Stegostoma tigrinum: one gene and its partners. The protein of the gene in region 2 interacts with the protein of the main gene of each other region in a pairwise test. Links are inferred from orthologs where the notes say so. Each region holds a gene or a part of one and is shown on either strand. Other genes may lie near its edges. The genes, in order: akap9, disc1, stx18 and exoc1.

Evidence for each region.
Region 1: the proteins of disc1 (region 2) and akap9 interact in a two-hybrid assay, tested with the Homo sapiens proteins (2 studies listed by BioGRID and IntAct). The link is inferred for Stegostoma tigrinum from reciprocal best matches to the Homo sapiens genes DISC1 and AKAP9.
Region 3: the proteins of disc1 (region 2) and stx18 interact in a two-hybrid assay, tested with the Homo sapiens proteins (2 studies listed by BioGRID and IntAct). The link is inferred for Stegostoma tigrinum from reciprocal best matches to the Homo sapiens genes DISC1 and STX18.
Region 4: the proteins of disc1 (region 2) and exoc1 interact in a two-hybrid assay, tested with the Homo sapiens proteins (2 studies listed by BioGRID and IntAct). The link is inferred for Stegostoma tigrinum from reciprocal best matches to the Homo sapiens genes DISC1 and EXOC1.

The regions. Positions count from the first base shown.
Region 1 is NC_081355.1:108,967,674-108,976,333, reverse strand, and holds the start of akap9 (A-kinase anchor protein 9), read left to right. Parts: upstream 1-5,327; 5' UTR 5,328-5,407; coding exon 5,408-5,455; intron 5,456-8,473; coding exon 8,474-8,660. UniProt on the Homo sapiens protein: Scaffolding protein that assembles several protein kinases and phosphatases on the centrosome and Golgi apparatus. Required to maintain the integrity of the Golgi apparatus. Required for microtubule nucleation at the cis-side of the Golgi apparatus.
Region 2 is NC_081357.1:97,266,969-97,274,799, forward strand, and holds the start of disc1 (disrupted in schizophrenia 1 protein), read left to right. Parts: upstream 1-4,557; 5' UTR 4,558-4,806; coding exon 4,807-4,912; intron 4,913-7,831. UniProt on the Homo sapiens protein: Involved in the regulation of multiple aspects of embryonic and adult neurogenesis. Required for neural progenitor proliferation in the ventrical/subventrical zone during embryonic brain development and in the adult dentate gyrus of the hippocampus.
Region 3 is NC_081354.1:17,152,844-17,160,712, forward strand, and holds the start of stx18 (syntaxin-18), read right to left. Parts: upstream 3,231-7,869; 5' UTR 3,178-3,230; coding exon 3,025-3,177; intron 1-3,024. UniProt on the Homo sapiens protein: Syntaxin that may be involved in targeting and fusion of Golgi-derived retrograde transport vesicles with the ER.
Region 4 is NC_081354.1:109,168,792-109,176,732, reverse strand, and holds the start of exoc1 (exocyst complex component 1), read right to left. Parts: upstream 3,565-7,941; 5' UTR 3,471-3,564; intron 1-3,470.

The DNA of each region.
Region 1 (8,660 bases), on a different chromosome or scaffold from region 2:
GTCATCAGTTGTCTAAAGTTCTCAATGTTCCTTCATCTCTGTTGTCTCCAGGCATGAACATTTTGCAGTGGTGACCCTAATGAAATTGTAACCTGTCTCAAAACTCAGTAATTTACGTGAAATTTCAATTTTATTCATGAAGCAAATTTTGAAATGTTACAACCATTTTATGATTGCACAACAATTAAAATTCTGTAGTGAATGATATTATGTTAAGGATTGCATATGTTTATTTTTGGGTACAGCCGTAATGCTGCCTGATTCCATCTTCTCAAATTAATATCCTGGGTCATTTTTAACTCTTTGCATGTTGATGTTTGTAAATGAGCTGTAATGCTGCCCTAACCTTAGCATCATTTCAAGCCCAAATTAATTAGCTACCTTCAAATAAAAGCAAAGTACTGCAAGATACTGGAGATTAGAAATAAAAACAGAAAATGCTCGAGGAATACAGCAGATCTGGCAATATCTGTGAAAAGAGAATAAAGTTCTAAACTATGAGTTATATTGGACTTGAAACATTTCTGCCTCCACAGATGCTGTCAGACTTATCAAGTTCCTCTTGCACTTTGAGCTTTTAAAGAAGTTACCTGAATTTGCAAAATAAAAATTTAATTCAAAATGGGGAATGTTAGCTTGATTTGCAAACTTTTATTGATTCAAATATATCTGTCTTAATGAAAATAAACGAATCTGTGAAATCTCTAAATTAATGAATTTATCTTCAATTCGATAGTGAAGTATGTAAAGTTTAGCCAAAATTAGCAAACAGACATTATGAAATAGCCAAAATGTCAACTTCTCCTATCTGGTTTCCACCCTTGTGATGTTGGCTTAAATAGCTCACCATTAAGCTGAATGGAATTTAATTTAAGTAAATAAGATAAAATCAAGTTTAACTTCACAGCTCACCAAAGCAAGAAAGTGTTGTGACCCAACTCTCACTGGCAACTCTGATTCATAGAACATAGAACAATACAGCGGAGGCCCTTTGGCCCTCGATGTTGCGCTGACCTATGAACTAATCTAAGCCCCTCCCCCTACACTATCCCATCATTATCCACATGCTTATCCAAGGACTATTTAAATGCCCCTGCACTATCCCATCATTATCCACATGCTTATCCAAGGACTATTTAAATGCCCCTAATATGGCTGAGTTAACTACATTGGCAGGCAGATTGTTCCATGCCCTTACCACTCTCTGAGTAAAGAACCTGCCTCTGACATCTGTCTTAAATCTATCACCCCTCAATTTGTAGCTATGCCCCCTTGTACAAGCTGAAGTCATCATCCATGGAAAAAGACTCTCACTGTCCACCCTATCTAATCCTCTGATCATCTTGTATGTCTCTATTAAATCCCCTCTTAGCTTCCTTCTCTCCAATGAGAACAGACCAAAGTCCCTCAGCCTTTCTTCATAGGGCCTGCGCTCTAGACCAGGCAACATCCTGGTAAATCTCCTCTGCACCTTTTCCAATGCTTCCACGTCCTTCTTGTAATGGGGCGGCTAGAACTGCACGCATATTACAAATGAGGCCACACTAGCATTTTGTACAGTTGCAGCATGACACCACGGCTCCGGAACTCAATCCCTCTACCAATAAAACCTAACACAGCGTAAGCCTTCTTAATAGCACGATCAACCTGGGTGGCAACTTTTAAGGATCTATGTACATGGACACCAAGATCCCTCTGCACATCCACACTACCAAGAATCTTTCCATTGACCCGGTATTCTGCCTTCCTATTATTCCTCCAAAGTGAATCACCTCACATTTATCCATATTAAACTCCATTTTCCACCTTTCAGCCCAATTCTGCAGTTTATCCAAGTCTCCCTGCGACGTGCAACATTCTTCCACACTGTCCACCGCTCCACCGACTTTAGTGTCATCTGCAAACTTTCTAACCCATCCACCGATGCCTGCGTCCAAGTCATTTATAAAAATGACAAGCAGCAGTGGTCCCAAAACAGATCCTTGAAGCACACCACTAGTGACCAGACTCCAGGCTGAATATCATCAACCGCCACTTGTTGCCTTCTTACAGAAAGCCAGTTTCTAATCCAAACTGCTAAATCTCCCTCAATCCTGTGCCTCTGTATTTTCTCCAATAGCCTACCATGTGAAACCTTATCAAAGGCTTTACTGAAGTCCATGCACACCACGTCAACTGCCTTTCCCTCATCCACATGCTTGGTCACCTTCTCAAAAAACTCAAGGAGGTTTGTGAGGCACAACCTGCCCTTTATGAATCCATGCTGACTATCTCCAATCAAATTGTTGCTTGCTAGATGATTATAAATCCTATCTCTTATAATCCTTTCCAAGGATTCATCTCATTAGTTATGGAGACTCAGGCATTTTAATCAATAAACTTCTGGCTGACTTTTCTTTAGAGATAACTTCAAAGTCAGGTCTCATCATATTAAGGCTTGCAGACTTGTGAATGTTAAGTTCAAAAATTTTGGCATGAGTATTGATGACTCAGCACCGACAGAAGGAGTTGTAAATGGTAAATGCAAATATATTTTAGCATGACAGCAAAATGGTAAAAAGCAAAACAAACCTTGTCACTATTTTCTATCTGATTGCTAACATTAACCTTTTGCGAAACTGTACCTACAGAGGAAAGCCAATCAGAAGACAATTACCTGTATAACTTCCATTCTCATGTTGTAAGTCTCTGATTGAACAGTTAATACAAATATTTCTCTGAACAATAAAAGCAAGCAATTATAAATGCTCTGTAACATGCCACTTATCAAACAATGCATTTAGTTTGAGCAGGCTAATGTGCTGTGCTCCTGTCTCCTTGATTTCCTCACTCTTAGCTGGAAATTGAGCAGCAACTTGCCATTACTTGCTTGTAAGTTGGCCACTTATGGGTGTCATTCGAGGTGAGGGAAGGCATGCCACATCAGGCCTCATCTGCCTCCCATAAAATTGCAACCAGGTCAAGGGTGGGCAAGTAGGGAACATGACTGAGAACTGCAGAATATTATGACCCTCCTTGGCAGAGGAAATAAAAAAATTCTGATCTAGCAACATCTTTGTTCTGGATGTCATGGCTGGTTTCTTAAGAGTGTAACAACTGTTATCTGGATCAGTTTGAAGTGAAAGTGCATTCCTGTCTTTTTGCTTATTTCCCTTTTGAAGGAAAGTGTCTGGTCATCTTTTGATACTTTTTCCATTCAGATTATTCCAATGGGATACATTTAAAGTTCAGTTCATTTTATATTCATCCATGATGTCCTGAACATTACAAACATTTCTGTCGCAGAAAGCTAACAACTTCAATACAAATTTTAAGGTTAGTTTATGGAAACACAATTCTAAAAATTGAAAACTCTCCTCTTTCTGGCTGTGGTTCCTTACAGTCCACTACTGTCATGAGACTGTTGACGAAATAAAAGTCTTGTCCGCCTGTTTTAATGAATTTAATAATTATTGAGATTCTTTTATGTGTAAGTCAATTGTGACCCTGCAGTCCAGAATGCTTAGAACCAAATCATTTCTGGATTTCTGACTTTTCTGCATTATCGAATGACATTCTGGCCTAATCATGTACATGAAACAGAAACCACTGTGGATGTACATTAGCTACCTTAAACATAAAACACTTTAAAGTAGTAAACCCAGAATGAGAAGATTGCCTTATTAGGAAGGGCTAACAGTGCATGCTTATAATCGCTGGAGTTTAGAAAAGTCAATTGAAATACTTGATTGAAATATTTAAGATCCTGACGAGACTTGACCAGATGAATGTCAAAAGAATATTTCCTCTTGTGGGAGAATCTAGGACTAGGAATCAGAGTTTAAAAATAAGGGGTCACACATTTAACATAGAGATGAAGAAACATATTTTGTCTCTGGGAGATTTGAATATTTTGGAATTCCCTTCCTCAAAAGGCGATGCATGCAGAATCTTTATTTTTAAGGCAGAGATAAATAGATTCTGTCTTTACATTTCTGATAATCCTTCATCCTTTTAGTAATCAAATTACCATTGTCTTGCCAGATCATTGGGTTCCTCTCTAAAGTGACAAGATTGATTGTGGTTTAACCTGAAGGTCACTATGCCTCAGGTAAGGGGAGAGGTTAAGGAGGAGAGTCCTTGTTAAGGAGGAGAGTCCTTTGTGGTTACCTGAGCTGGTGCAGAAAGTGAATCCACACCATTGATGTCACACTGCATTACAATCCAACCATCCAGCCAACTGAGCTAATCGACCCCAATGACAAGTTGAGGTTAAAATCAGGTCAGCCATGATCATCTTGAAATGGCAGAGCAAATTCAAAGGGCCAAGTGAACCTACTCTTGTTCCTTGTTCACATTGTTGTATGTTCAAAGTAATGAAAAGAATTTACTAACCCCAACACATCTTCATTTTTTCTGCTCTCAATATATTGTACTAAACTGACACATGAATGGCTCTGCTCAAAGAACTTCCAGACAACTGATGTTTCTAAACGGTAGATTTCCAGTCTGACTAGTCTAAACACTTATGCTATTCCATGAGAATTAGACATTCATAATTTTATGTAATAATGGAGTTTTGGAAAGATTTGTAAGGCTTTAATCAAAAAGCCATCAAAATTTGTTATAATTCAGCTTTGATAAAGTTTAATGTGGGTGTCCAGTTGAAATTGGTACAGATCACATCTGGGATTTCTACAACTCTAGAGGCCACATACTGTTGAGGAGTCTTGTACTATTCTTTAATGTACAATCAGTGAACTAGCTTTGTGCTTAGTATTGTTGTTTGAGTTGATGTAATAAGTGTAAAGAAATTTAATATAATCATCCTGGTATTACTTGCCCCGTCCAACTGAATTCTTTCTATCTCTAATTTTATTGTTTCACTTTGTCAAGGCTCATCCACCGCATCTGTAACACTGCCGGTGTCCTTTGCCACTTTTGACAATTTCCTGCTTTCTAACCCTAACTGTTTCCTTTTCACAATAGATGTACAATGTCTCTACACCATTATTCTTCATATGGACATACTGATAACATCATTTCATTGAATGGTGGCCCCAACACTTCAGATCTAGCACCATCCTGCTCTACCTGGTTGAACTTAATGTATGGCTGGCTTTTTAGTTACATGTGGAACATTTATTTTTTGAGTCCTACTTACTTTCTCCCCCATCTTTTTCTAGAACATTCACAGCTGTATCTATTTCCTCCCCATCCATCTCCAACTCCTCCTTCCCTCCCTTTCACCATCTTCTCCTCCTCTCCCCATCCTTTCTGACCTGGCGTCAGCCGCCTCCTCCCGTGCGAGGGATTGCTGTCCTGTGAGTCTGTCATGCGCAGTGGTGTCGTTGCCGCGGGCCGTGGTGTCGGCCGGCGCTGCTAACGTGTCACTGACTGAGCTCCACTCCCTCCCTCTCACACAGCCATGGAAGACGAGGAGAGACAGAAGAAATTGGAGGCCGGCAAAGCCAAGGTAAGAGTCCCTCACTTGCTGCGGCGGTGAATACTGGAGTCGGGATAAGGGAGGGACGGAGGCCGGCGCTGGTCGGCTGTTTTCTGTCTGGAAGGCACTAGTCCATGGCCCCGTCTCCAGGTGCAGAGGGATGAGCTTTAATATCTCTGTGCTTTCTAATTGGATCCGCAGGCTTTAGCCAACTGTAGGGGATTGTAGGCCTTTGGTAATCGTGCTTTTTATTGTTTACTTGAGGTGCCAGAAGGGCCTAGAGCAGGATCCAGGGCTTTGTTGTGAATTGAATTAAACGAGTTAATCAGAATCGATACAAAGCTATTTGCAAGGACGTGTCAAAGGAAAGATTGTACATTATAAATTGAACAGAAATTAAGTGTGTTAATGAAAGTTGTTTAAAGATTTTGCTTTCAGCGAAAACGGTTTGTTTCTGTTAACCGTGTTGGATTGGATGTAGCAGCTATTCGCAATGACAGCCCAATACATTACATACTTTCTAACGTCTTGAAGTACATTTAAGATAATACATCTTAAGAAGGCTGGAGTGAAAGTCACTTTAATGTAACAAAATTGCAGAAGTTTAACAACAACTTCTAAAGTATGTAATTGTTACATTTTTTCCAGATTTATAATTTAGTAGTGTTTAGTAATCCCATCAACAGGATTGGTACTTTAATAAAGGTATGCTGGAGTATTTGAACTGCCACCAGATTGTCTGATTATTATCATCTGTTTTGCCCAAGAAATTACAAGATTGTTTATGAACTGTGTGAGTAGTGACAGCTTTATTTCTGTGTGTGCTAAAATTCAATAGGCATAATCTCCCATTTTTATTGATGTACTGTAAATGTTTTGCATCACAGAGAAACTTAGATTTTCATATGGTTACAGAATGATTAAATGTGATAATTTCAGTAGCGTCTTTGTCTACAAGAATAGCCTCGTGCATATATATAGCATCTTATTGCATTCTCACATAATTCAATGCACTTGTGTATTTGTTTCCAGTGATAGTTGTAATCTTGCTGAGTGACGAATGAACAGGTGGGAAAGACAACCTTGAAGTTTGACATAGCTGCAGTAGAAGTTGGGGAAAACAGAATATAAAATGAATTAAATTAATCCATATTGATATAGCATGTGGATAAAGTATGAAAACAGTTTCTTTATTTGTTTCTGTGATATGCCTGTCATTATCAAGTTGTAGCTGCTGTTGACAAGGTTGTTGTGGGCCTTATTAAACTAGAGCAGTCTGTGTGATGAAAGCGGTCCCACAAATTTCACTGTTCATGATTGAGTGAAAGTAATTGATACGGCTTTGTTAGACCTCGGATGCTAATGTGAGAAACTTCTGCAATGATATCCTGAGGCTGATTAGAATCGGCAGTTGCCAAATGTTGTGTTGTGAAGTAATGTTTTACTCATTAAGCTGTTGCTTAGTCAAAGACTGAAGCAAATCTTTAAAGTCTTAGCATATTAGCAAAGTAGAATTCTTTCCCTCAGCCAATGGGATATTTAAGAAAGTTATGATAGTTACGAAAATGAGTATATTTCATGACATGGAGGGCAACTTTGAGTTTTGTTTACCAAAGTGAACACAAACTTTTTGAAGTGTGCATTTCCATGTTTCCATATCGATTTTAGCTTGTTGCATCCTCTTGATGAAGTATTAAAGTTCAACACACCACCTGCAAAATGGATAAGGTAAACTGTACAAAATTGGACAATGTCTAGAAAAAATCCTAATCACCAAATCTTAATCTACATGGTCAGTATCTTTGGAATCATGTCTGACTGGTGAAAGAGAAGCTGATTCAGAGTTAACATTTCAAGTCTGACATAATACTTTTGAACTGATTTGTGAAAAATGATCAGAATCAGCAGTTCCCAAATGTTGTTATGTAATGGTTTTGCACATTAATTAAGCTTTTTACTCAAAGAATACGTACTCTAGAAGAGTCAGAACAGACTTGACATGTTAAGTCTTTTTCTGCCTCTGCAGATGCTGCCAGACCTACTCCAAGTTTTTCTGTTTTCATTTCTGATTTCCAAAATCTTTAGTATTTTGCTTTTATATCTTTATCTTATGTTTACTACTTGCACCAAGTTTTGAAATATATATTTATATTACATAGAAAATATATTCCCAGATGTTCCTCTCAGCATTATCCTGGATTGGAAGTCATTCTGAATCTGTCATAATACTATTATTGTTGCTTCAGTTTTGTTTTTCTTCTCACATTGGAAAGGCTTTGAAAAAGATGTGTAAAGTTTGTTCAGGGAATGAATTCTTGCTATAGTCCCAACTTAGTTGACTGAATCACTTGGTTCGTACTGGTTTAGATTATGGGAATGTAGGAACAGGAATAGGACCATTATGCCTTGAATTCCGGTTCTACTATTCATGGCTAATCTGTACCTTCACTGCACGTGCTTTGACTCAGACTCCTTTTCTATTAATGTCCAGCATGTATCTATCTCTGATTTAACATATTTAATTGAGCTAGCATCTACTCAATTAATTGGAATTCCAAACTGTTTCCAAGACCCATGATGTCAGACGGAAATTAATTTGATATTTGAAGGAAATTGCAGGGGTATGGGGATAAAACAGCACCTGAACTGACTGGATTATTCTTTGCTTAATGTCACCTACTGGAAGGGACATGTTTCTCTCCATTAACCATATTATTTCCTTTCAATATCTTAAAATTCCTTGGTCAAATTACCCCTTAGCGTTGTATGCTCGAAGCATTGTGCAGAAAGATGATGCAAGCAACAAAATCATTACTATTGGAAATGAAATATAACATAATCTGTAATACAGAATTGTTTGCAACATCTTTTCCAAACGAGACTATATTAAACAATTTGTATTCTAGGCATGAGGGAATATGTATAGGATTAATTGTCATTATTTACTATAATGTTTTAGTTTCTGTTTATGTGAAGAAAAATGTAAGATCTTGTATCTCTAAAGATTCTGATAATCTGAAAAGTCATGATCAAATTTTCTATTTTCAGCTTGCCCAATTTCGACAACGGAAAGCCCAGGTCAACCTTCATAATCCGGGAAAAAAACAAAAGAGAAAGAAAAAAGTAGTAAACAAACCGGAGGAGCAGGTGGAGTACGTCACACCTAAACATCAGCAACAGGATGCTAAAACTAGGGCAGAGAGTGGTCCACTAGGAGATGGAGAGTTCATAATTA
Region 2 (7,831 bases):
AACGGAATTTTTGGAAAGGCCTATGCATAGCTTACTTTTAGATTTTTTACATTTACTACATTTCAGTATTATAAGATTTTTAGTTTGATTTATTTTTGGTTCTTTTACAGTCAAAAACGCAAAAACAAAAAAAAAGCACATTTTTTCAGAGTTGTGTTAACAGGCCTTTTGGAGAGACATGTGGATGGCTCATTTTTCTCTAAAATTATATGCCTAAGAGGAGAGTGTTTTTTAACATTGCTGAAGAGATTTTTTTCAAATCATGGAGGACAGTTCTTTTTAAATGTAGTAGTGTTTATGGAGCTTTTGGAGAGGCCTACATGCGTAAAGTGAGATCTTTTAATCAGAAGATTGAAGTCTGTCTGCTGGACCTCTGGAAGACTCATTTCTTAATTTAATTGTTCAGCTAACTGATTTATTTTATTTAAGATTTATATGTTTTTCTTATTCCTTATTTTTTGCATGCTTAACATTAATTCTTTACATATGGAAAGGTGGTATATTTCATATATAAGGCACTATTGTAAGCTGCTACTTTTTACGCTTAATGCCATTGAGGGCATACAAGAGACACAGTGTTAGGTGGTTAATAGATTTAGAGATTCCACAGCAGGATCAGTTAGATAGATGGATGACTGTCAAGAAATTTCAGAAGTTCAGAAGTCTCCCATGGTTATTTCTCTCTCAAACAAATGCTCAGCTTTGGATGCTGTTGAAAAGGATAGTCTCTTAGACGAAAAGTAGAAGACGCAGCCAGATCATGGGCACTAAGAATCAATCTTATGTTAGGCTGGCTTTGACAAAATTTGAAAGAATAATTGTTAGAGATGACTTTCCTATAAAGGGCACAGACAGGAGATCCTGCAGCAATGAACATTAATCTATGATATAATGTTGCTTTCTTGGTGCCACGATTAAGGATGTTTTAAAATGTTTGAAGCATGTTGTTAAAAGGATAAGTGAGAAACCAGAAGTTATTGTACACATTGGTAGGAATGACAAGGTTAGGGAAAAGATCAGGGCTTTACAGGGTGAATAAGGGTTTAGATAGAAGATTACAAAACAGAACCTCAAAAGTAGTAATCTCTGGTTTACTCCCGCTGCTAGACTCAAATGAGGGAAAGAATAAAATGATGAAGGAGATAAATCAACGGCTGAAGAGGTGATGTAATGTTCAGGGATTCAGATTCTCAGATCATTGGGATCTCTCCGAAGGCAGAAAAGACCTGTTCAAAAAGGATGGGTTTCACCTGCAATGGAAAGGGACTGATATCTTACAGGGAAGATTTGCTAATTCTATTAAGAGAAACTGTAAACTATTTGGGGAGGGAGAGGGTTTGGGGGATGGGGGTGAGGCATCCTAAATAGCAGGGTAAATAGAAAGATAAATGAAGATGGTTTTGAATCTGAAAAGAACAATTGGAAAAGACAGACAAAAGCAAGTCAGAGAATGAAGTAACTGAAGAATTATTTCAATGGAAGGGGTCCTATAGGTAAGGCTAATGAACTTGGGGCATGCTTTCAACATGAGATTGGGACACCATAGCTATGACAGAAACTTGGCTGAAGGACGGACAGGACTTGCAGCTCAATGTTCTAAGTTTTAGGTGCTACAGGAAGGGAAAGAGACGTAAGAGGAGGGGGAGTGGCATTTTTGATTAAGGAAAACATTACTGCTGTAACTAGAAAAAATATTTCTGAAATATCATTCAGTGAAAATATATGGATTGAAATTAGAAATGAAAAAGGAACAATCACCTTGATGGGATTGTAATATAGACCTCCAGCAGCCAGGAAAATTAAGGAACAAATATGTAGAGACATTTCAGATGTATCTAAGAATAATAGTTATAATAATGAGATTTCAATTTTTCAAACATTGATTAGGACTACCACTGTATTAAAGGTTTGGATAGTTTAGAATGTTAAATATGTTCAAGAAAATTTTCTTTATCAATATGAAGGAGCAAAACTTGACCTTCTCTTGGATAATAAGACAGACAAGTGACTGAAATGATAGTATGGGAATACTTTGCGTCAAGTGATCATAATTTATTTGTTTTAAAATAGTTATGGAAAAGGACAAACCTTCCATAAAAATTAAAGATTTAATTGAAGAAAGGCCAATTTTAAAGATATGAGACAAGAATTTTCAAAAGTTTACTGGAGTAGACTGTTTACAAGTAAGGGGATATCTGATAATTGTGAGGTATTCAAACATGTGGTAACGAGAGGTCACAGCTATTATGTTCCTGTTAGAGTGAAAGGTAAAACTAATGGGATTAGGGAACAATGGATGAAGAAAGATGTTGAGGTCCTAGTCAAGAATAAACAAGTATCATATATTAGATATAGAAACTGGGTTCAAATGACTCTCTTGAACAGTATAAAGTATGTAGGGACATTCTTAAGAGGGATATTTAGGAAGGCAAAGACAGGATATGTGATAGCTTTGGCAAATAAAGTTAAGGATAATCCAAAAAGATTCTACAAGCCATTAACAGCAGAAGAGCAACTAGAGAGAGAGAGTAAGGCCCTTTAAAGATCAACATGGTTATCTTTGTGTTGAACCTCAGGAGATGTGAGAGATAGTAAATAAATATTTTGCATCTGTTTTTACTGTGGAGAAAAATGGAAGTTAGAGAACTCTGGAAAATAAATATTGATATTTTGAAAACAGTTCACATTACAGAATAGGAAGTGCTGGATGTCTTAGAAAATATAAAGGTGGATAAATCGCCAGGACCTGATCTAGTCTATCCTAGGATGTTGTGGGGCCCCTTGCATAAATATTTGTATCATCTATTACTGTGGGTGAGATGCCAGATGACTGAAAGTGGCTAATTTTGTGTCTTTATTTAAAAAGGGATGTAAGGGGAAGCCTGGGAACTATAATCCTGTGAGTATGACTTTGGTGGTGGGTAAGTTGTTGGAGGTGATTCTGAAGAATAGGATTTATATGCATTTGAAGTAAGTAATGATTAGGCATAGTAAGCATGGTTTTCAGTGAAATTGCACCCCACAAATTAAATTGAGTTTTTCAGGAGTGACAGTGTGTGACAAATGTGATAATGGAGAGTTGTTTTCTGGACTGTAGGCTTGTGGCCAGCAGTATTCTGCTAGATTCGGTGCTGGGTCCACTTTTGTTTGTCATTTATATAAATGATTTAGATGAAAATATAGAAGACATGGTTAGAAAGTTTATGGATGACACCAGAAATGGTGCTGTAATGCACAGTGAAGAAGGTTATCCAAGATTATAAAGTGATCTCGATCAATTGAATCAATGGGCCAAAGAGTGGCAGATGGAGTTTAATTTGGATAACTGTGAGGTTTTACATTTTGGTAAAACAAACAAGGGCAGGACTTACACAATTAAAAGTAAGGCCTTCGGTAGTGTTGTGAAACAGAGAGGCCTAGGGCTTCAGGTACATTATTCTTTGAAGTTTGCATCACATATATGGTTAAGAAGGCATTTAGCATTCTAGACTTCATTGCTCAGGTCTTTGAGTGTAGGAGTTACATTGAAGTTGTACAGTACATTGCTGAGGCCACTTCTGGAGTACTGTATCCAGTTCTTGCTGCCCTCTTGTACAGAGGATATTATCAAACTGGAGAGGGTTCAGGAGAGAGATTTACTTTCAAAGTGCAAATGCTGGCTGTTAAAGTGGCAAAAACTCACTTGAATTTTTAAAATTTTCTTCTGGATATTTTTTCTTTGTGACACCACTGCAGCCATATAGGATTTTCCAAGGTAACCACTTATGGTAACTGGGTGAATTTTGACACCAACTAGTATATAGTACCAGTTAAGGATTGTTTGCAGTAGTTCACTGCCTGTAATCCTGTCTTGGGTTTATGTAAAGATTAGTGGTAGAAGATAACAAACAAACTAGAACACAAATTGTTGGAGAAACACAGCAGATGTGGGAACATCTAGAAGAGAAAACAAGTACTGTGACCCACCTTCAGAACAATTCCGAAAAAACTCGAAAAACCCGAAATAGAAACCTTTCAGTGAAGCGTAAAAGCTCCTTTAGATTTAAAAGAAGAACTCTTAAGAAACATAAACTTATACAACAACGTGTTTTGGAAATAACTATCTAATTGGTTCCACTCCCTTATTCTTTATTCAAAGCCTTTTAAATTTGTCCTCGCTATTTATTCTATTCCCATTTAGAGATCTTTATAAAACCGCGCAGCGAAACCCGTTCCGTATTAGTCTTTTCCACCATCCTTTCAGGTAATACATTCATTCCAGACCACAACTCATCCAATATATCGTTTCTCCACTGAAGGGTATCCAATTCCAGAATGTTACATCAGTAAACAGGTCAAAAGTAAAAGTGAGATTTATTACAAATATAAAGCATGTAATCATAATGCTTTTGACGCAGTTGGGCCACTCAAAAACAGAGCACTAAACCCTCAAAATTCGTCCAAACAGAACCTTCAAAATCGAAGGTTTTGTGAAGCTGTAATAACAAAGTCGCCACTGCGTTTGTGTAAAAGAAAAGGACTGATTCGCTCACTTCCTCAAATCTCTGCAAGAGACTGACCCTTTGGCATAACGAACTGAGAGGACTCGGTGTCGTTGTCTCCCTCAATTTGTCGTGCACGGATCCGCGCGCGCGGGGTTTCGACCACCATTGGAGACGAGCAGTTGGGTGAGGGTCGCACGATAATCAAACCGAACGGACAACAACGGCTGGAGGAACTGTCAAAGTGGCGCGAACGGAAGCAAAGCGCGCGGGACGGGGGTTATTCAGTGGGGGCCGTTAGCTCGCGCCTCGGCCGGTCTGGCTGATGATGTTCGATGGAATGGATGTAATACGCGAATCTTTCGCGGATCGGCCGAGATCAGTTTCTAGCAGTGATCCTGGGCCTCGGGGGCAAAACCCGCAGAAAAGAGGTATGACTCGTAATACGGAACGGGTTTCGCTGCGCGGTTTTATAAAACAAATTGCTGACATCCTGCGTATGTATCCAGGGCTCTTTTTCCCCCTCTAACCACACCCTATATCCATCTGAGATTGGGTTCAGTACCGGAGTCCTGTTATTGAGTTGTATTTGGACCCGCCTCCCCTTTACGTTAGACATGATAACTACTGATTCGCCGAACCCTGCCCTATGGACGCCGATTAATTGCAAAATCTTTCTCATCAGCTTAGTTAAGATAACGACTAGGGCATGAATCTGGGATCTTCTGCCCTTTACAGTTCCGCTCCATCGGGGAGCTGGGAGAATTTATTCAGCACTTTACCAAAGACCTTGTGGCATAGATAGCACATTTTAAGAAAAATATTTTCTTTATTAATGTAAGCACGCATTTACGTGGAGTTTTATTTCAAAATTTTGCTGTTATGATTGATCTTTACAGTTTACATTTGTCACATATTGCTTATTTCTTTTATTTTAAATAATAATTCCTTAACTTTGCATGTACTGTATACGGTTGGTAACAACTTTGCAAATATTTATTTTCACTTTTAATATTTTTGTAGTGAAGGGAAAACCACATTTAATCGTACGGTAATTATATATACCATGATATTCTGTACCAAACCTTTGTCAAAGTGAGCTATTCTAAATAGATAATATTGCAACAATTCCAAAAATACTGCCTGAAATAAGAGCATAGATAGCACAATTTCATATTCACTATTATAAGTAAACTACCTGTGATGATGTTTTACTGATATGAGATAACATATCCTCTGCACCTGCTGTATGATCTGATTTCCAAACTAACTTGTACAGTAAGTAACTTGATAACTGAAATTGCACTTTCTAGAAGTTTGCCTTTCACTGAATGCTCCCATTCTAGATTTGTATGAATTGCTATGCAGAAAGCTGACCGTGGTAACTACTGAAGGTCACATAAAAATTTGCTTCTTGAAACCCTTGTCTTTTCAGTCCTCTCCATGCTGCTGCTCTTTATATTTGAAAGTCCACTGTCAACTTTTATTTTAGCATGAGGCAGTACTGACAAATTCCCATTCTTGAAACAGCTGCCAACTTTGATTACTTTCTCCAGTAAATTACTGGAGCTAAACTGAAAGGCATCTCTGATAATAGAAGTAGCTTTAGGAACTGAATCTTGGTTTGATTCAAACTTAGGCCTGCTTTTTAGGCTACTTCCTACTTTTCATTCACATGCTTCCCCTTGGTAGCTGTCATTTTAAATGCCGAAGTGTCAGATATTGTGAAGCCTTCCAACAGCTCTGAAAGGTAACTTGTACAACAGGAAAGGCGAATAAGGAACAAGCCAAAAGCTACTTTTGCTTTTGAGAATATATAGGGGCTAATTGAATTTCCAGCATCTAAGCACTTACAGCCAATGACTTCAACCAACTCTATTCCTTTGGAAGTGGGTGTCTAATAGGTGTTTTGTTTTGAGCTCAACGCTGCCTCACTCTGTTGTGGCGAGGTTGATGTTCCTTTTGCTCAACGTCCTCTTCTTTCTCATCAGCAGAATGTTGCTGCTCTCACAGCTCCTTAATTACCCATCCCCATTTTGCTTGGGTCAGTTGTCCAGAGTACAACGTGCAAGGATTATGTGGTGCAATCCATTATCAGAGTATTGCAAGAAATCCCCAAATGTTTTCGTGCATGGAAATTTCATCTGAGGAAGCCTAATGTCTCCCAAAGGAAGAATGGGCTGCATTGTATTTAGCTTCAGTCTGAGTCAGAGGTTACGAAATGGAGTCATCAGCCATGATGGCAAAGGGTAATTGTTGGCTCTTAATAAAGCAATTGGTCTTTGGAATGAAGCAGGAACCTGAGAATTGTCAAAGATATTGGCATCATGGCAGTTTCCAGGGCAGCAGCCTCAGACTTCCAGAATGTTTTTGCAGTGATCACAGGTGAGTTTGACATTGACTGGATGGAACCCTTTCTTATTAATGAAGTTAATCAAAGTTCATCAAAGCATAATATAACGTGAACACCCACATAAGTATACAAAATACTTATTTTTAAAAATGTATTTGTAATAAATGACTATCACATATCAGGATGCAAAATAGATTTCAGTGTTTGGGCCAGTAAAAGGAGCTGGTTTTCTCTTAAGCTGAAAGTACCAAATTGGAAAACATTCTTCAAAATATTGTCTACTTATCAGGCTTCTTTAGAATGAATAGCCAATGGACGCTAAATTATGCATTGTAGTTCAAGAATAAAATTACAACCATACCAAGAGTTTAAGGCACTCATCTATTTGTTTTGAATTAATATTAGGGATGTAAATTGTGCACTCCAGAGTAAACCCATTATGGAAATTTTAGATAGCTGGGATTAATATTAGTTTAACAAATGTTTTCATCATGATGTACTTTAAATTGGTAAAGGTATTAGAACATAGAACTGTACAGCACAGCAACGGCCTCTTCGGCCCACGATGTGCCAAACATGACACCAAATTAAATTAATTCCTTCTGCCTGCCTTTGGTCCGTATCCCTCCATTCCTTGAATATTCATGTGCTTATCTAAAAGTCTCTTATATGCCCCATTGTATCTGCCTCTACCACCATCCCTGGTGACAAATTCAAGTCTCCTACTACTCTATGTCCCTCACATCTCCTTTGAACTCCCCCCCCCCTCCCCCCGCAACCGCCTTAAATGCATGCCCCCTAGTGTTAGGCATTTTGACACTGCGAAAAAGATTCTGACTGTCAACCCTGTCTATGCATCTTGTAATTTTATAAACTTCAATCAAGTCTCCCATTAGCCTCTGCCACTCCAGAAAAACAACCAAGTTTTTCTATCCTCTCCATATAGTTGATATCCTCTAATCCATGCAGCATCCTGGTAAACCTCATCTGCACCCTT
Region 3 (7,869 bases), on a different chromosome or scaffold from region 2:
TTTTTGGTCAACACAACTGGCTGCACTTTTACAATGCATTATCGACTGCAACTTCTGATTAATTAGTGACACATAAACACGACAAGGCAAGATATTCTGCATTGCTACATTGTCTTCAGCACAACTACCAATACAGAGCCTCAACTGGTCATCTCTGTACAATTTGAGGATCATTGCTGCGTGAAATATGACTGCCATAACAAAAAAAGTGATTACCCCTCAACACTCATTGCGAACAGCTTCTGGATTTCACGATAACATATAAATGTAAGAGTTGTGGTTCAGCTGGCGGACTGTCACTCAAAGCAGAGGTTTAAGGTTCAAGTCCCACTCTAGGTCTTCAAGACAAAAATCAAGGCTGATACTCCAGTTCAGTATTGAAGGAGTGCTATATTGTCAGAGGTGCTGTCTTTCAGTTTGGACATTGAAATGAGTCTCTCTCTGCTCTCTCAGATGGTCACAAACGGTACTAGGTCAAAAAGCAGTGGAGCTATCCCTGCTATCAAAGCCAATAAATATCTCTCGACAAACAACATAAAAACAGCGGTGATCTGGCTCCTTTCGTTTCACCAACTACAACAGAAATCTGAGTGAACATATGCTGTTACACTAAGACCTGATCGAAATAAAAGTCCAACAGACTGTTAGACAAACACACTGACTGCAGGCTTCAGCAGGGACAGATGTCCTTTGATATGGGAATGTCAGAGGCACATTTGAAGCAGGCAAAAAGCAGCAAAGAAAACAGCTCCATTGTTAGCAAAGACAGGGGCAGTAATCAAGAACAAAATATACATTTGGAGAGATACTTGAAACGCTACTGTGAAATAAACTGTACAGACTGTTACTGAGGACGGTCTAGACAACATGAAAGCCTGCTGTCATGGCAGAGCCAGATATTGAATCCACAGCTCAGTTACACTATTTCTTGCTGTGACTAAAGCTGGAGATGCTTATGCTACATGACCTAAATACAATTAAGCACAAAAATCCAGCACTCCTGCAGCATCTGCTGGAAGGAAGTGGCAGTGCCCAGGATATGCATGATTCTAAGACTAATACCCTGTATAAGAACAAGGGTAACTGCAACAATTGCAAAGCCATAAAAGCATCTTCCTGCTGAGTGGCACGCTAAAAAAAATCTTCTAGCATTGCCTTCCTCAGACTCCAGATCTTGGTTGAATGCATCTTTTTGAAATAACATGGTATGAAGCTGGATGAACACAGCAGGCCAAGCAGCATCAGAGGAGCAGGAAAGCTTGACGATTTGGGTCGAACTGGATGATATAAAATTGACAAGACCTTCTCTGTCCAGCAGCTGCAAGAGAAATGACGCAAGCAATGGCAACAATATATCAAGGACTTTCACTTCACCAAGGCATTCAATCACGTGAGATGAGACAGGCCATTTGTGCTGCCTGATTTAATTGAATATATTATTGTCACATGTACCTAAGTACAGTGAAAAATTTTGTTTTGGGTGCAGTACACGCAAATCATAACATACAAAGATCATAGGATGATTGAACACAGTAAGGAATTCTAAGTTATGGTTGCAAAGAGGTGCTCAAAAAGCAAGATCATCATTAGATTTGAAATTTAAAAGGTCCATTCAGAAGAAGCAGGGAAGAATTTATTGGTATCTGTGTTCAACTTTTATGCTTTGGTCACCTGCCGAAGCTGCTCAATGAGATCTTATTTCCTTAACAAAATACTGAGCAAAGTCAGCTAGGGTCAGATTGGTATTCTTTGAAATCTGTAGTGTGACACCAACACCTTTTGGCATATACACCTTTTTGCTAATGCCATATCCCAGCTGGTGACCCGTTCACAGTACCTACTTACATACTAGAACTGACAGAACCTACTCATTCTTGCCCACCTAAGATCTAAGACAAAAAGCATCAAGCTCTCATCACAGCTGCTCTAGGCTGACAATACTACACTAACATTCCATACTGAGCAACACCTTGAGTGGAATTCTGACAGATTCTCTCACATTGTAAATTGGTGGTATGGCCAATAGTATCAGGATCATTTTTAGAATGTCGCCATATGCCATCTATCAGCATTGATAATGTGACACTGGAGTTTGTTTACAGTCTTACATATGTAGACTCCATAGTAACCAGCAAATTATCTGTGGAACAATTTTCACCTTCACTGTCGCAAACATAACGTCAGCATCTCTTGGCAGGATAAGGACACAAACTTAGAGGTCTGGAACATAATGTCTGTGCTGACCTGGCCACATTCAACAGAAAATGATCATCTGTAAACTGAACTATCTATATAGCACCATGACTTCCTGGGCCATCCACACCTGTTCCAAGGGCATACAGAAACAACCCTGACTCTGGAGATTGACTGTTTGAATGAAACTAACAGAGACAAAGAGATCGGCTGGCTGATAGAACGGCCAACTTAAACAGAGGCCACCGAGTCCTACCACTGCCCTCATCCGCAACAGATGCGGCAGAGACTGTCATGCCAGAGTAGCTCACCTGAACCACATAGCTGGTGATTCTCAGAGAGGTGACCACGGGGAAGCAAATCATTTTCGTGCTGGACAGTGAGCTACTGTGCGTATACCACATTGCTGTGCACACACTGGCTGGCCGCTGTGTTGCCTACAGCACAACAACGACTACATTTCAGAAATGTACCATTGGCTGTAAAACGCTTTCGGCGGGTGGGGGGAGGGGTGTGGTGTTCGCTAGAAGTAAACGGTGCCACAGAAATACAACTCTTTCCAGCGTGAGACACTCTGGCAAGACAGTCTCTGCCGCATCTGTTGCGGATAAAGGCAGTGGGTTGAAGAGGTGTAGGGCTCGGTGGCCTCTGTTTAAGTTGACAGTTCTGAGGAAGGGTAACCGGACCCGAAACATTAACTCTGATTTCTTCTTCACAGATGCTGCCAGACCTGCTGAGATTTTCCAGCAACTTCTGTTTTTGTTCTTCCCAACGTTCAATGGCAAGCCTCCGTACTCCCCCTGCATTGCTTCAATTCTCTCTGGCACTCACCACTTCTCTGGCCCGGGCGGTGAACTCGGCCCTCGTCCTCCCCTTCCTCAGGATCTCCTCCCTGACCGGTTCGCCACTGACACCGATCGCCTTGTTCCGAGTTTTGACGGTTTTCACACTCGCTCGGAACAAGAGCGTGATGTCGGCCGCCATTCTGACCGAAGACACGTCACCGCTGGAGAGATCATCACGGCGCGACGCCGCCCCTCACCCCGGGCACGGGCGACGGTGGCGGCGTCATCTTGCGGCGACCCGGTCGGCGTCGGAGAACGGGTGAAGCAGGTGGCGGGAACGCGGAGGGTGAATAATTCCGATGAGGGTTTCGTGGTTTCCCAGGGCGGTTCGCCCACGGGTCGTTACTGGATGAGCCCGGGTTCGCCTTGGAGACCAAACCACGTGAAAGCTACTTCCCTTCCCTCTGAGATAGTAAGAGCTGCAGATGCTGGAGTCTGAGATAACACTGCAGAAGGGTTCCGACCCGAAACGCCAGCTTTCCTGCTCCTCTGATGCTGCCTGGCCTGCTCTGTTTTTCCAGCTCCAGCATTGTACTCCCTTCCCTCTGGGCTTCATCACAGCTTTTATGGAAACCGCTCAGACCAGGACTAACTCCTCACCATCACCTGTACTGCATTCCACCTCTGGAAAAGCTTGCTCAGTATTTCCTGTTAGTGACCCTCGCCCCACCGTGCGTCTCTTGTAAATAGTGAGTCGGAGGATGTTGTGACTGATTACAATTCACCCGGGGGCTGACAATCAATGTTGGAAACGCTTTTGCACATTTCAAGCTTCCAGGCCGAATGGAATCCAGAATTTAAGTTAATTTATTCCAAACGGAAGCCTGAGGTGCCGTTCCTCAGAATTATTCAGTTAGTTTCGTGCGCTCCGGGCTCAACAGCGTGACATTTAATCAGCGATTTGTGGTGCCAGGCGATGAAAGCAGAAGTGGGCACCCGTTTATGTTTAGAGATAATGGGAACTGCAGATGCTGGTAGATCCGAGATAACAAAGTGTGGAGCTGGATGAACACAGCAAGCCAAGCAGCATCTTAGGAGCACAAAAGCTGACGTTTTGGGCCCAGACCCTTCATGGGGGAAGGGGGAGAGGATTCTGAAATAAATAGGGAGAGAGGGGGAGGCGGACCAAGGATAGATAGAGGAGAAGATAGGTGGAGAGGAGAGTATGGGGGGGGGGGGAGGGAGGGGATAGGTCAGTCCGGGGAGGACGGACAGGTCAAGGGGGTGGGAGTTGCTGTCCTTGAAGAATGAGGACATCTGGGATGTGCAGGAGTGGAATGCCTCATCCTGCGAACAGATGTGGAGGCGGCGAAGGAATAGAGGATGGAATTTTAGCAGAAAGGTGGGTGGGAGAAGCTGTATACCAGGTAGCTGTGGAAGTTGGTGGGCTTGAAGGGGACATCGGTTTGTAGGTGGTAGTCTGAGATGGAGACACAGGTCCAGGAAGGTGAGGGATGTGTTGGAGATGGTCCTGGTGAACTTGAGGTTGGGGTGGAAGGTGTTGGTGAAGTGGATGAACTGTTCGAGCTCCTCTTGGGAGCATGAGGTGGCGCCGATACAGTCAGCAATGTATTGAAGGAAGAGGTGGGGTGTAGGTGCGGAGGAGGGACTGCCAACCGCAGGAAGTGCTACACCTGCCCCCACACCTCCTCCCTCATCCCCATCCAGGCCCCAAGATGACTTTCCACATCAAGCATTTGTTCACCTGCACATCCACCACTGTGGTATACTGTATCCGCTGTACACAGTGTGGCCTCCTCTACATTGGGGAAACCAAGCGGAGACTTGGGGACTGCTTTGCAGAACACCTCCGCTCGGTTTGCAACAAACAACTGCATCTCCCAGTTGTGAACCATTTCAACTCCCCCTCCCATTCCTCAGACGACATGTCCATCCTGGGCCTCCAGCGGTGCCAAAATGATGCCACCCGTGGTTGCAGGAACAACAACTCATATTTCGCTTGGAAACCCTGCATCCCAATGGTATCAATGTGGATTTCACCAGCTTCAAAATCTCCCCTCTTCCCCCCCCCCCCCCCCACTGCATCCCAAAACCAGCCCAGCTCATCCCAGCCTCCCTAACCTGTTCTTTCCCTCACCTATCCCCTCCTCCCACTTCAATCCGCACCTTCATTTCCTACCTACTAACCCCACCTGGCCCCCTTGACCTGTCCGTCCTCCCCAGACTGACTTATCCCTTCCCTACCTACCTTTCCCCCCACCCCCAAACACACTCCTTTCCACCTACCCTCTCTATCCATCTTCGGTCCGCATCTCTTTTCCTTCCCAGCTTTTGTGCTCTTAACATGCTGGTTGGCCTGCTGTGTTCATCCAGCGCTACACTTTGTTAACCCATTTCTGTTTTCCTGGAGCTGGTATTCTCTCGATTCTTATCAATATTTAAAGGACGAGTGGCAGGCATGTGAAATATGTGCAATTGTGTGGATGGGGACAAATTTCCTCTCGAAGCTAACCTCGTCTGATGATGGTTCAGGTCCAGCAGGACTGTGGCAGAGCCACCTGGACATGCAAGGAGACACTGTATCAAGGGCCCACTTTTCCTACTCCTTTTTGTCAAAAATTGGCATTTTTTTTGTGCACCTCTTCTCTTCCCCCACTCTGCCCCCATCCTTTATCCCCTTTTGGTGTTTTGGGCCTTGAGATGCTGATAAGGAATACCTCAAGAGCATGTTGAAGTAAGGAAAACATCAATTCTATTTAAGAAAGACCGAACCATGGTTCCATCTTGGCAGGAGGCTGGAGGAGACACTTTGTTCTTAAAACATTGCATAAATTCCTATGGTGTACACTGTCTTCTCAGAAATATCACAGTTAGATTTAACCCTTTACACCCAGTCAGAACAGAGACATCCCAATGCATCCTGCAAATCCTATCCAGACCAATTTGGAATAGTGGATGATGTACTTTGAGCAATGGCAACAGTAGTCTGACCTACACGCCTGATAAGACCTAGAGAGAGATTGCAGAGGTTAGGCCTGCCAGAGACCACAGGTGCTGTGTCACAAAATGGTCAGTGATCTCCACCCATCCACCTGGATAAGTGTCTCAGTTATGCAACATTGTTTGTCTTGGCTATGTGTTTGTTTGGTGGGCAACTAGGTGTTGAGAATGAATGTGTGATCTGCCTTCGGACTGCATGACAGATTAGTTCCGGTTAGCTTGAGTAAGCAGTTTGATATAAGCTACCATTATCTGGTAGGGCCTTGGTAGCATTTGTCAGTTTGTTAATTCTTCACTTTCTTGTGAAGGACAAGCAGATTCATAATCAGACAGCAAGGAGAAAGATGGGCAGAAGTATGCCAAATCTTATGGTCCTTGCCTTTGCTGCGAAAGCAGTCCTGCAGAGAATAGAAGGCCAATCTGTTGTTGATGGCAAGGCTGGAGTGGCTGGGGTTCAGAGGGAGAATGAACTTGACCTGCTGTAGCCATAAAGGGTGCTCGGGACCACAGTGCATTGTGTAGTGCTCAGAATCTCTGTTTTAAAGGGTTTGTTTTTGTTCTCTTTATACAGGTTCCTGCATGCCAGAACATAGGCCTCAGCCACTTAAGAAGAGTGAAGACACCACCTCCGAGGACAACCACACTACAGGATGCACTGTTACCTGCCTGCCTTTCACCCTCCGCAGCGGAGGTACACCCTCCAAGATCATGAATGTGTTGTGTTCAGATTTGGGGTCAGTTTCTAATGAATGCATATCCCAGCAACTATTAGAGGCTGTCACCACCAAGGTTGTTGACACTGAGGGCTGTCCTGGCATAGCCCCCTGCAGAGTCCCATGCTGAAAGCAGGCTCTTTGGTAGTGGTCAAAAGAAGCCTGCCAAAAATGCAGCAGTTTAAACAACATATGATCAAGATGCTAGGGGTTCTGAGCTGTTTTGCACAGACTATGGAAAGCCTTGATGTCTGCCATATGTCAGGCACATTAGCGCATTACTTCTCCTTGGAGAAGTTGGCAACTGCCACAGAGAACCAAAGTAAGCAGTTGACTCGTGCTGTGACGTGCATGCCAATCTTTATTCATAGACTTGATATAACAACGGCTAGGAAAGTGAGGGTGAGAAGCCGAGACCTCCCTTTCAATTCTTCCTATAGCATCTGGAGCATTAAACTGTCAGTCCTATCCACCCCTGAGCCACGTCTCCATATTTGCTATGATATCCCAGTCCCATGTTTCTAATCATAGCCAGAGTTCATCTGCCTTACTACCCTTGAGGACCTACTTTTTATATTCCTGCCTAACTTCCTATATTCTGTCCACAGAATTTCATCCTTTTCTGTATCTATGTAGTTAATTCCAAGGTGTTCAACAACATCACACTGGCCCCTCTCTCTGTTGAGAATATTCTGCCTCTCTGACACATCTTTGATCCTGGCTCCAGGGAGGCATCTCGCTATCGGCCACAGTGTTGTCTCCATTGTTGTCTGGCTATGCCTCTGACTAGTGAGTACCCTATCACAAACAATTACTTGGAACCCGGTATATCCCTTGATATGTTCGAGCCAGTCTTGGTACCAGAAACCTGTCTGCTAGTGCTATGTTCCCCTGAGAGTCTATTGTCCCCTACGTTTTCAAAAAGAACATACTTGTTTGTGATGGGGTAACCACAGGAGAGCCCTGCTATACATTTCCTGGAGCTCACCTATCTAGCTGAATGTATCTTTGGTTTATCTCCCTCCCTGCAATACAATCCGTCACGCCCCCTAGCTCCTGTAAATTCCTCATTGCCTCTAACTGCTGCTCCAACTGATCCACTTGATCCAATAAGATTTGCAGCCAAACACACTTCCTGCAGACATAATCATCAGTAA
Region 4 (7,941 bases), on a different chromosome or scaffold from region 2:
TAGCTACAGAGTGCTAGCAGTAAAAGTAGCTGTATAAGTTTACACTTTATAACTAACTTAATAACATGAATTAATCATATTGCAATTAGTTAAAACTAACCACCATTTTTAAAATATATATTCAGGACAGTGAGAAACAAAGAAGGAATCATTGAACTTGATAAAGATGGCAGATGTAATACCATGAATAACAGAATTCAAACAGCTCTTAGATGAGAAAGTCTAGGACAAACCAGAAGGAGTATAAGTAATAATTTTCGGAATGTGAATTAATAGGGCACACAGAATGATCCCAGGGCCCAGAGTTTACATTGACTAGTAAACACCACGACATGAGACCCGTGGCTGTCCCCAGGATTGCCCATCATTGATTAGGTGTCCCATGGATTGGGTGTTTGGATTAAGGGGAAGGACAATAACTACATTGTATTTGATTGCTATAACAGTATCTAAAAATGCTGTACTTCTTTGTGAAATCAGAGTGTGCCATTGACCTCCCTTCTGATTCAGGGAAGATTCTTTGGCCCTCTCCCTGTATTAACTGGTTTCTGCTTAAAAAAACATCTTCCACTTGCCTGAATCCCGCCTGCCTTTTGAATTTTTGTCCCCAGTCAGGGGATATGTCCCACAGTGACTACACTTCCAAAGTTTTTAAATTGGCTGCGAAGTACTCTGAAATAGCTGAAAGTCATGAGGTACAATAAAAGTTTAGTTATTCTTTACTATTTAGGATTGTACCATCTGCAAAATGATGCATTTTTGGCTATTTCATAAAATGCAAAACACAGATATGATAATACATAAATGCCAATCTTTCTTCTGAAGTAAAAATTCAGTATTGGATTACCCAAGTACTCAATACAACAGTATTCAACATATTTTCCTGCCGAAAGTAGGTCCTGAACTTAGCTAGAGACTCCACATACAGTCTTTTGTTAGGAATTCCTTTAAATTTTCCAGGCTCCCAGTTTGAACATTCCTTTCTTGCCAAGTTTAAAATGGTTGTCTCATCTTTGCAGCCTCTCCCACAACTGCTGCTGTGTTCATACTGATATGCTGCCATTCATTTTCCCAACGCTTGACATTCCTCCAACCACAAGATGTTTCACGCATTTGCTGCAGAAAGGCTTACCAGTAGATGTACTTGAGGCTATCAGCATCATGGGAGAGAAATGGCTTACCAGTGGAGGGACCTCTCCTGATTTTTCCACATATGAATTCAGGAGGCAAGTGTACTCTCACTGGTTGACCTTGTGATTAAATTTTCACAGGCTTGGTGAACCTTCACATTAAACTGTTGGTTCCCCTTGCTTTATTCTGTGCAGGCTTCTATATCAATCAATCACTCAGTTCAAACCTATGATAATGCATTTCAGAATGCAACTCAAATATTCTGGGTGTGATACCTTTCCCAAAACTGCCAAAAAAAAAAATCTATATCGACAAGTGGACATCTGTTCCTCTACAGCTGCTGTCTGGCCAATTAAGATTCCAGTATGTTTTTTGTTCAGATTTTTGACACCCGCACAACTTTGTACTTCACATTCTGGGCTGCTGTTGAAAGAGATAATGGGAACTGCTGATGCTAGAGAATCCAAGATGACAAAGTGTAGAGCTGGATGAATACAGTAGGCCAAGTCGCTGCAGTGTCTCTTGTCGATGCCACTATACATTGGCGGTTGGAGGAAGTGAATGTTTAATTGTGATGGGATTAACACAGAGAATAAAGTTAAAATGTCTGAATTAAAAGGCCCTATCTAAATGTGCATGCTGTACATCAGAACAAGCAACCTTTGAGTAACAAAATGACTGAAAAGTAGAGATAGATGTTTCTAGTGTTCATTAATGTAAAACTTTACAAGGTGTTTCAAACAGGTGAAATTAGTTGCTCAACGGTGAAAGTATAGGAGAGAACCAAAAACATGATCACGGAAGTAGGTTTTAAGTAGAGTGGGAAGAGATGGCCACACAGAAAAATGTACTGTAACAGAGCAGAAAGGGACTAGAGTTAAGAGGCATTTCGAAGGTAAGATGGGGTTTGGCTGGGGACGGATTTGAATTTAATACTTTAGGGAACTAGAGGCCAATGGAGAACAGTAGGAACTGGCATTATAGACCAAGTACCACACACAATGGGTGGAAGACTAGTGAAGTGAATTGGAACTTGCTTAGAGGAGCTAGGGACATGAACTAAAGCAGTATTGATGGGCAACAGGAAAGGTGAAGTCTGTACAGTAGAGTGCTTTCCTGTGGAGAAGGAAATGAGCAATCTGGATGATTTGATTCTACATGGATTTTGACTAAGGTCACACAGAGACAAGGATACGAAGTAACTGTAGTGGAGAAAAACAAATGGCTTTAACATTATGAAGGATGCCCAATATACATGACCAGCACCAGATCAGACAAACAACCTGAGATGTAGGCAAGGGAGGGTAAGTAGCCATTAATACTACGTGTGCAGAAACCATGGAACATCATATAGATAGGAAAGAGGAAGGAATCAGTAATGGAACTTAGAGAAAATTACAGAAGCCATGTAGTAAAGAGTTTGCAGGCTGCTTTAGAACAGGGTGCAGTGTAATCAAGTGAGCATTGTGTCACAGATATTAAAGGGAAGGAAAGGAAGGAACTTGAAATCATCAACAGAACTAAATGCCATGGAGGGGTTGGTAAGGGCAAGAATGGTGCACCACAGCTACAATCGCCAAAGGTGGTGTTGGTAACTTTGACCAAGATAGATTCAGAATGAACCAATTTGACCAGCGAGTGATTAAAGTAGTAAATTACAGTTGCAAAATTTATCAATACAGTTAATACATAGTAAAAACTGTATATAACAAGTTCAATTATTTACCAAAATGATTTGGCCTTACTGTTGATATTGTCAAGTTAGAGACACAGAATGAGTCTGGTTGTCTTCCTACATTGACTGGTTGGCACTGTAGACAGAAAATGCAGTGAACTGAAACCTGTTAAAACCATTGAAATCTTGAGGATGCAGGGATCCCCACACACTGATAATGATATTAAGAATTAGGCAACATGCCCTCCTCACAATTTTTGTGGATTTTGTTTTATTTTATTTTATTTTAATTATGCTGATTCACTTTTGGTTTGATTGGAAAACTGCTGATTCTTCTTCAGTGACATTGTGCGACTTACAATCGACTGCAATTGCTCACCAGAATAAATCCAACCAGTTAGTACTGGAGGAACTGAAAATGGCCTCAGTGTGATTTCTGTTTTGAGCAGACAGGAAGATACTGACAGATGGTTCCTACTTTATAATGTACCACATTCTTATCACAATAAAAACTATGATATCCAAGTTTAAATAGCTGGGAAAAATGACACTTTCCAGCTAATACTGTCCCCAATCTCCGGGCTTTTTGCAACAACTCTGACTCGAATCCGAGCCAATTCCCCCGTACTGTTAGCCCCAGCCCACTGCACCCCATCGTGTTTACCTTAAAGCAGAAAGCAGATCCCGTCCAACAGAGACGACCTCTCAACAACAACCAACAGCCAACATCCCAATGCCGGATCCGGAACTGAACCACCTCCACTGTCACATCCGGATATGTACCGCCCGCCCCATATGACAATTTGAAAGGCGCCATCATTCAGACTGGCAAAGCTTTGCTATTTACTCTTTCCATGCTGGAAGAGATGTGTCAGCTCTACAGTCTTATTTTCAGCTGTTTTTCTAGCACTGTCAGAGATTTTAACTAACTGTTAAATGCAAACATTTAGTGAATTTCGATTTTGTTTTGTTGAATTGTGCAGATGGATCTTGTTTGAAAATTTAATCAACTTTTCTTCCAGATTTCCACCTCTTGTCTTCGTATGATCCATACGTGACTCTTTCCTCCCGTCTTAGAATCATACAATACAGAAGAGGCCCTTTGGCCCATTGAGTCTGTACAGCCGAAAGATAAACTGCCTACACTAGTCCCACTTTCTCACACTAGGCTGACAGCCTTCAATGTTATGACACTTCGTCTGTTCATCCAAACATTTTTTTAAAAGCTTGTGAGGTTATCCGCATCAACAACCCTCCCAGGCAGTGCATTCCAGACCCCCAACCCTTCTTGGTGTTGGTGAGCTCCAAACTGCATTTGGCTGTTAAAGACTTGTGTGGAAAAATTGGGCATATTTTTCTTAATGTTTAGAATTCGTTTCTCTGTTCTTGCCATATTTTTCCAACTGTGTCACCGCTCCCCACATTGTTTGGGGCTAAGAAGATACCTCAGATTGAGTTGGCTTGACTGTGGAAACCTTTTTAAATGTTTTCACAAGGGACGAGCATCGCTGGCTAGGTCAGCAAATGTTGCTTACCCCTAATTGCCCTTGAGAAGGTGATAGTAAACTACTTTCTTGACAAGCTGCAGTCCATTTTCAGGAGAAGGGTTTCAAGAGCGAGGGCAGGGTAAGACTTTCTGCAACTTCAGCCCTCTTAACCCCAGATCTCTCAATCAGGCAATGAGTGTCATTGAATGAGTGATCCCCACACATAGGGAGCTGGCAAGGGTTAGCTTTACAGGCTTCCTGCTTGGCAATATCCCCATTATCTGCTAGGTGAGAGTAGACAATGGCAGGAGGAGGCCTTAAATTGGCATTAATCTTCCTGGCCCAGGCATAATCAGGAAGATGGTGGATCCCAACCAGAATAAATGCCCTTGTGTCCAAACTTGCCTCAGGGTGTGTTAAATTTCTCCCATTGTTTTTCATTGAAGTTTACATAGAAAAATTGCTCCCTGAACACCTCCTGATAGGTGCCTCTCTCTTTTTCCTCAATGCCCCTTTTCCCCTTTACTCTGAATGACCTCTCCTTATTCTCCAACTTATGATGTAGAGCTAGCAGAATCCTTACTAATACACCCAAGTCTGGAAGCAACTGTGTTTTGCAATTGGAAGTCATCAAGAAGTCTTTCATCATCAGGCACACTATTCCCTCTGATATTTGTAACATGAATAACCATTGAAAGCACCAAAGATGTAGAGAATCATGATAACAACTGGAAGAAATCAAACAAAGAACTAGCTTGTATGTAGCTCAATGTTTTAAATAGTGCTGCTCAGTGGTCCTTTGTGTTGTTGAGCAACTGTTATATGATATGAAGAGAGGACATTGCTGGAGTGATGAGCTCAATAATGTCCTGATTGGTGTCAAATCAATATTGCATGTCATGAGTTCTGAATTCTTCCAGCTGACATTCACTATGTATAGATTAATACTGTCACATATATGGCAGCCAATATGATTCAGTGCATGATATATTAAGAGCTGCAGATGCTGGAGTCAGAGATAACACAGTGTGGAGTTGGAGGAACACAGTAGGCTAGGCAGCATTCGAGGAGCAGAAATGTTGATGTTTCGGTTCGGGACTCTTTTTCTGAAGAAGGGTCCCTACCCGAAACGTCAACTTTTCTGGTTGTCTGATGATTCAGTGTATGCATGTGCACATGTGTGTGCTGCAACCATCCTTATGTAGTTCTCAAGTTCGAAAGGTATTTGTGGTGCCCCCAAAACACATTAATGTTATCAAATTTTCATCTTAGCATTACGATCTATCTTGTCTGTGTAAATGTTTGATGATTAATTCAATTCAATTCCTGCTGAAAATGTTATTATAGCAAACAGTTAAATACAAATGAGTACAATCCTGTTTATCAGTTTCTGAGAGAATCAAATTGTTACTAAGTACTATTTTTTGCCTTGCAGTATCTTATCTGATAATTAAGTTACATATACAAAGGAATTGGAGGTTAGTATGGAACTGAAATCTAAATATGCAATTATTGCACATAGCATTGAGTATTTTACATGGTCAATATAACAATTTACAAATAGTATGTTAATTAGCAAAGAGGCCAACTCAGTTTGTAAATCAGATGTCAACCGAAACATATACGTTGTCATACGTGATACTTGCATAATGTTTCTAATGTACAAAATATCTTAATGCATTATACAGAGTAAAGTACTTTATAATAATTTCAAAATGGCACAGAGATACTCCATCAGATACAATATAAATATTAGCAGTATTAAGAAAGTAGCCACAATTTTTTTTTATTTTCAGGAATGGAACCACAGAGAACAAGAACCTGGGTGACATTATACAAAATTTACCGTATTACCTGTCAAATCTGAAACGACTTCTTCAAGGAGAAGACCTTAAGAGTAATTAGGATAGAAACATTGGAACAATGTAAGGGGAAAGTCAGATTGGAGAAATTATTTAAAATGATAGATCAAACTGAGCATCAGAAACACAATGTTTGAAGAATTATGAAAAGCAATTCACCAGGAAGCAGAATTGAAAAAGATTTAGACAGTGAAAAGGAAGTACTCATTCACTCATAGCAGTTTGGCAGCTTGTTTGAAAGATTTTGTCATGAATTTTTGAACCTTTCTCAGAGGAAATATATCCTCAAGTTAGAGAGATGAAGTATGAATATACTATGTCTTACCCTTCCCAGGACATCAAAGCTGTACTATTCCTTTACTCTCTCAGTCTTTACTTTGTTCTACATGACATGCGTTAAAAACCAAAGGTTGGCATAATCTGTTCAATGCTCTAAATTTATCCTACAAAATCTTCATCCAAAGCAATGAGAGTGGAAATAGGATAAAGTAGTCTGAGGGAAAATGGAATAGGTCAGCAAAAGCAGAATCTGGGTAAATCAGTGAGAGTGGAAGCTGGTATAATACAGTGGGAGCAAGAAAATGAATGACATAGAGTGAGTGAAAGCTGAATAGCAGCAAACCTTATTGAGGTCGAGGTTGGAAGGGGTTGGGATGAGAACACACCAACACCAGCCAGGTTTGCTGAGGTGCATTCCTGCTACTATGATGCAGGTAGACGATAAAATTTATTGTGAATGTATGCATTATAGAATATATCATAGGTCATATAGGATGAATATATTATAGGAAATTTAGTTTGGTCATTGTAGTTTTTAAATATAGGAAGAAAGGGAAGCTGATGCTATGGTAGCAAAGCCATTATGTGAGCTGTTAAAAATCAAATAATCAGAGTCTTGTTAACTATGTTTTGAGGAGATGATCGACCTTTGAGAACTTCAGAGAAGGTTTAAGTCATTCATGGAATTTTCCAAAAGCAGAAAACCATTTGAATGCAATTAACAAGATTTTGAAATAAAACAAAACACTGACGAAATTTCACAAGTCTGGCAGCAAATCTGGAGCCAGAAATAGTGTTAATATTTTGTGTATAATATGAAAATGATACTGCTTTCTATTTCTCTCCTTGTGTTTGCCATGACTGAGTGTCATAGCCACATCTCCTTCCTCAGTGACTAGGTGTGGCTCTGGATCTGGCTCTGATTTATCCAACACAGATTCCAACTGGAGTTCCATTTTTGATAATGGGAACTGCAGATGCTGGAGAATCCAAGATAATAAAGTGTGAAGCTGGATGAACACAGCAGGCCAAGCAGCATCTCAGGAGCACAAAAGCTGATGTTTCAGGCCTAGACCCTTCATCAGAGAGGAGGATGGGGTGAGGGTTCTGGAATAAATAGGGAGAGAGGGGGAGACGGACCGAAGATGGAGAGAAAAGAAGATAGGTGGAGAGGAGAGTATAGTTGGAGAGGTAGGGAGGGGATAGGTCAGTCCAGGGAAGATGGACAGGTCAAGGAGGTGGGATGAGGTTAGTAGGTAGGAAATGGAGGTGCGGCTTGGGGTGGGAGGAAGGGATGGGTGAGAGGAAGAACAGGTTAGGGAGGCAGAGACAGGCTGGGCTGGTTTTGGGATGCAGTGGGGGGAGGGGAAGAGCTGGGCTGGTTGTGTGGTGCAGTGGGGGGAGGGGACGAACTGGGCTGGTTTAGGGATGCAGTGGGGGAAGGGGAGATTTTGAAACTGGTGAAGTCCACATTGATACCATTAGGCTGCAGGGTTCCCAAGCGGAA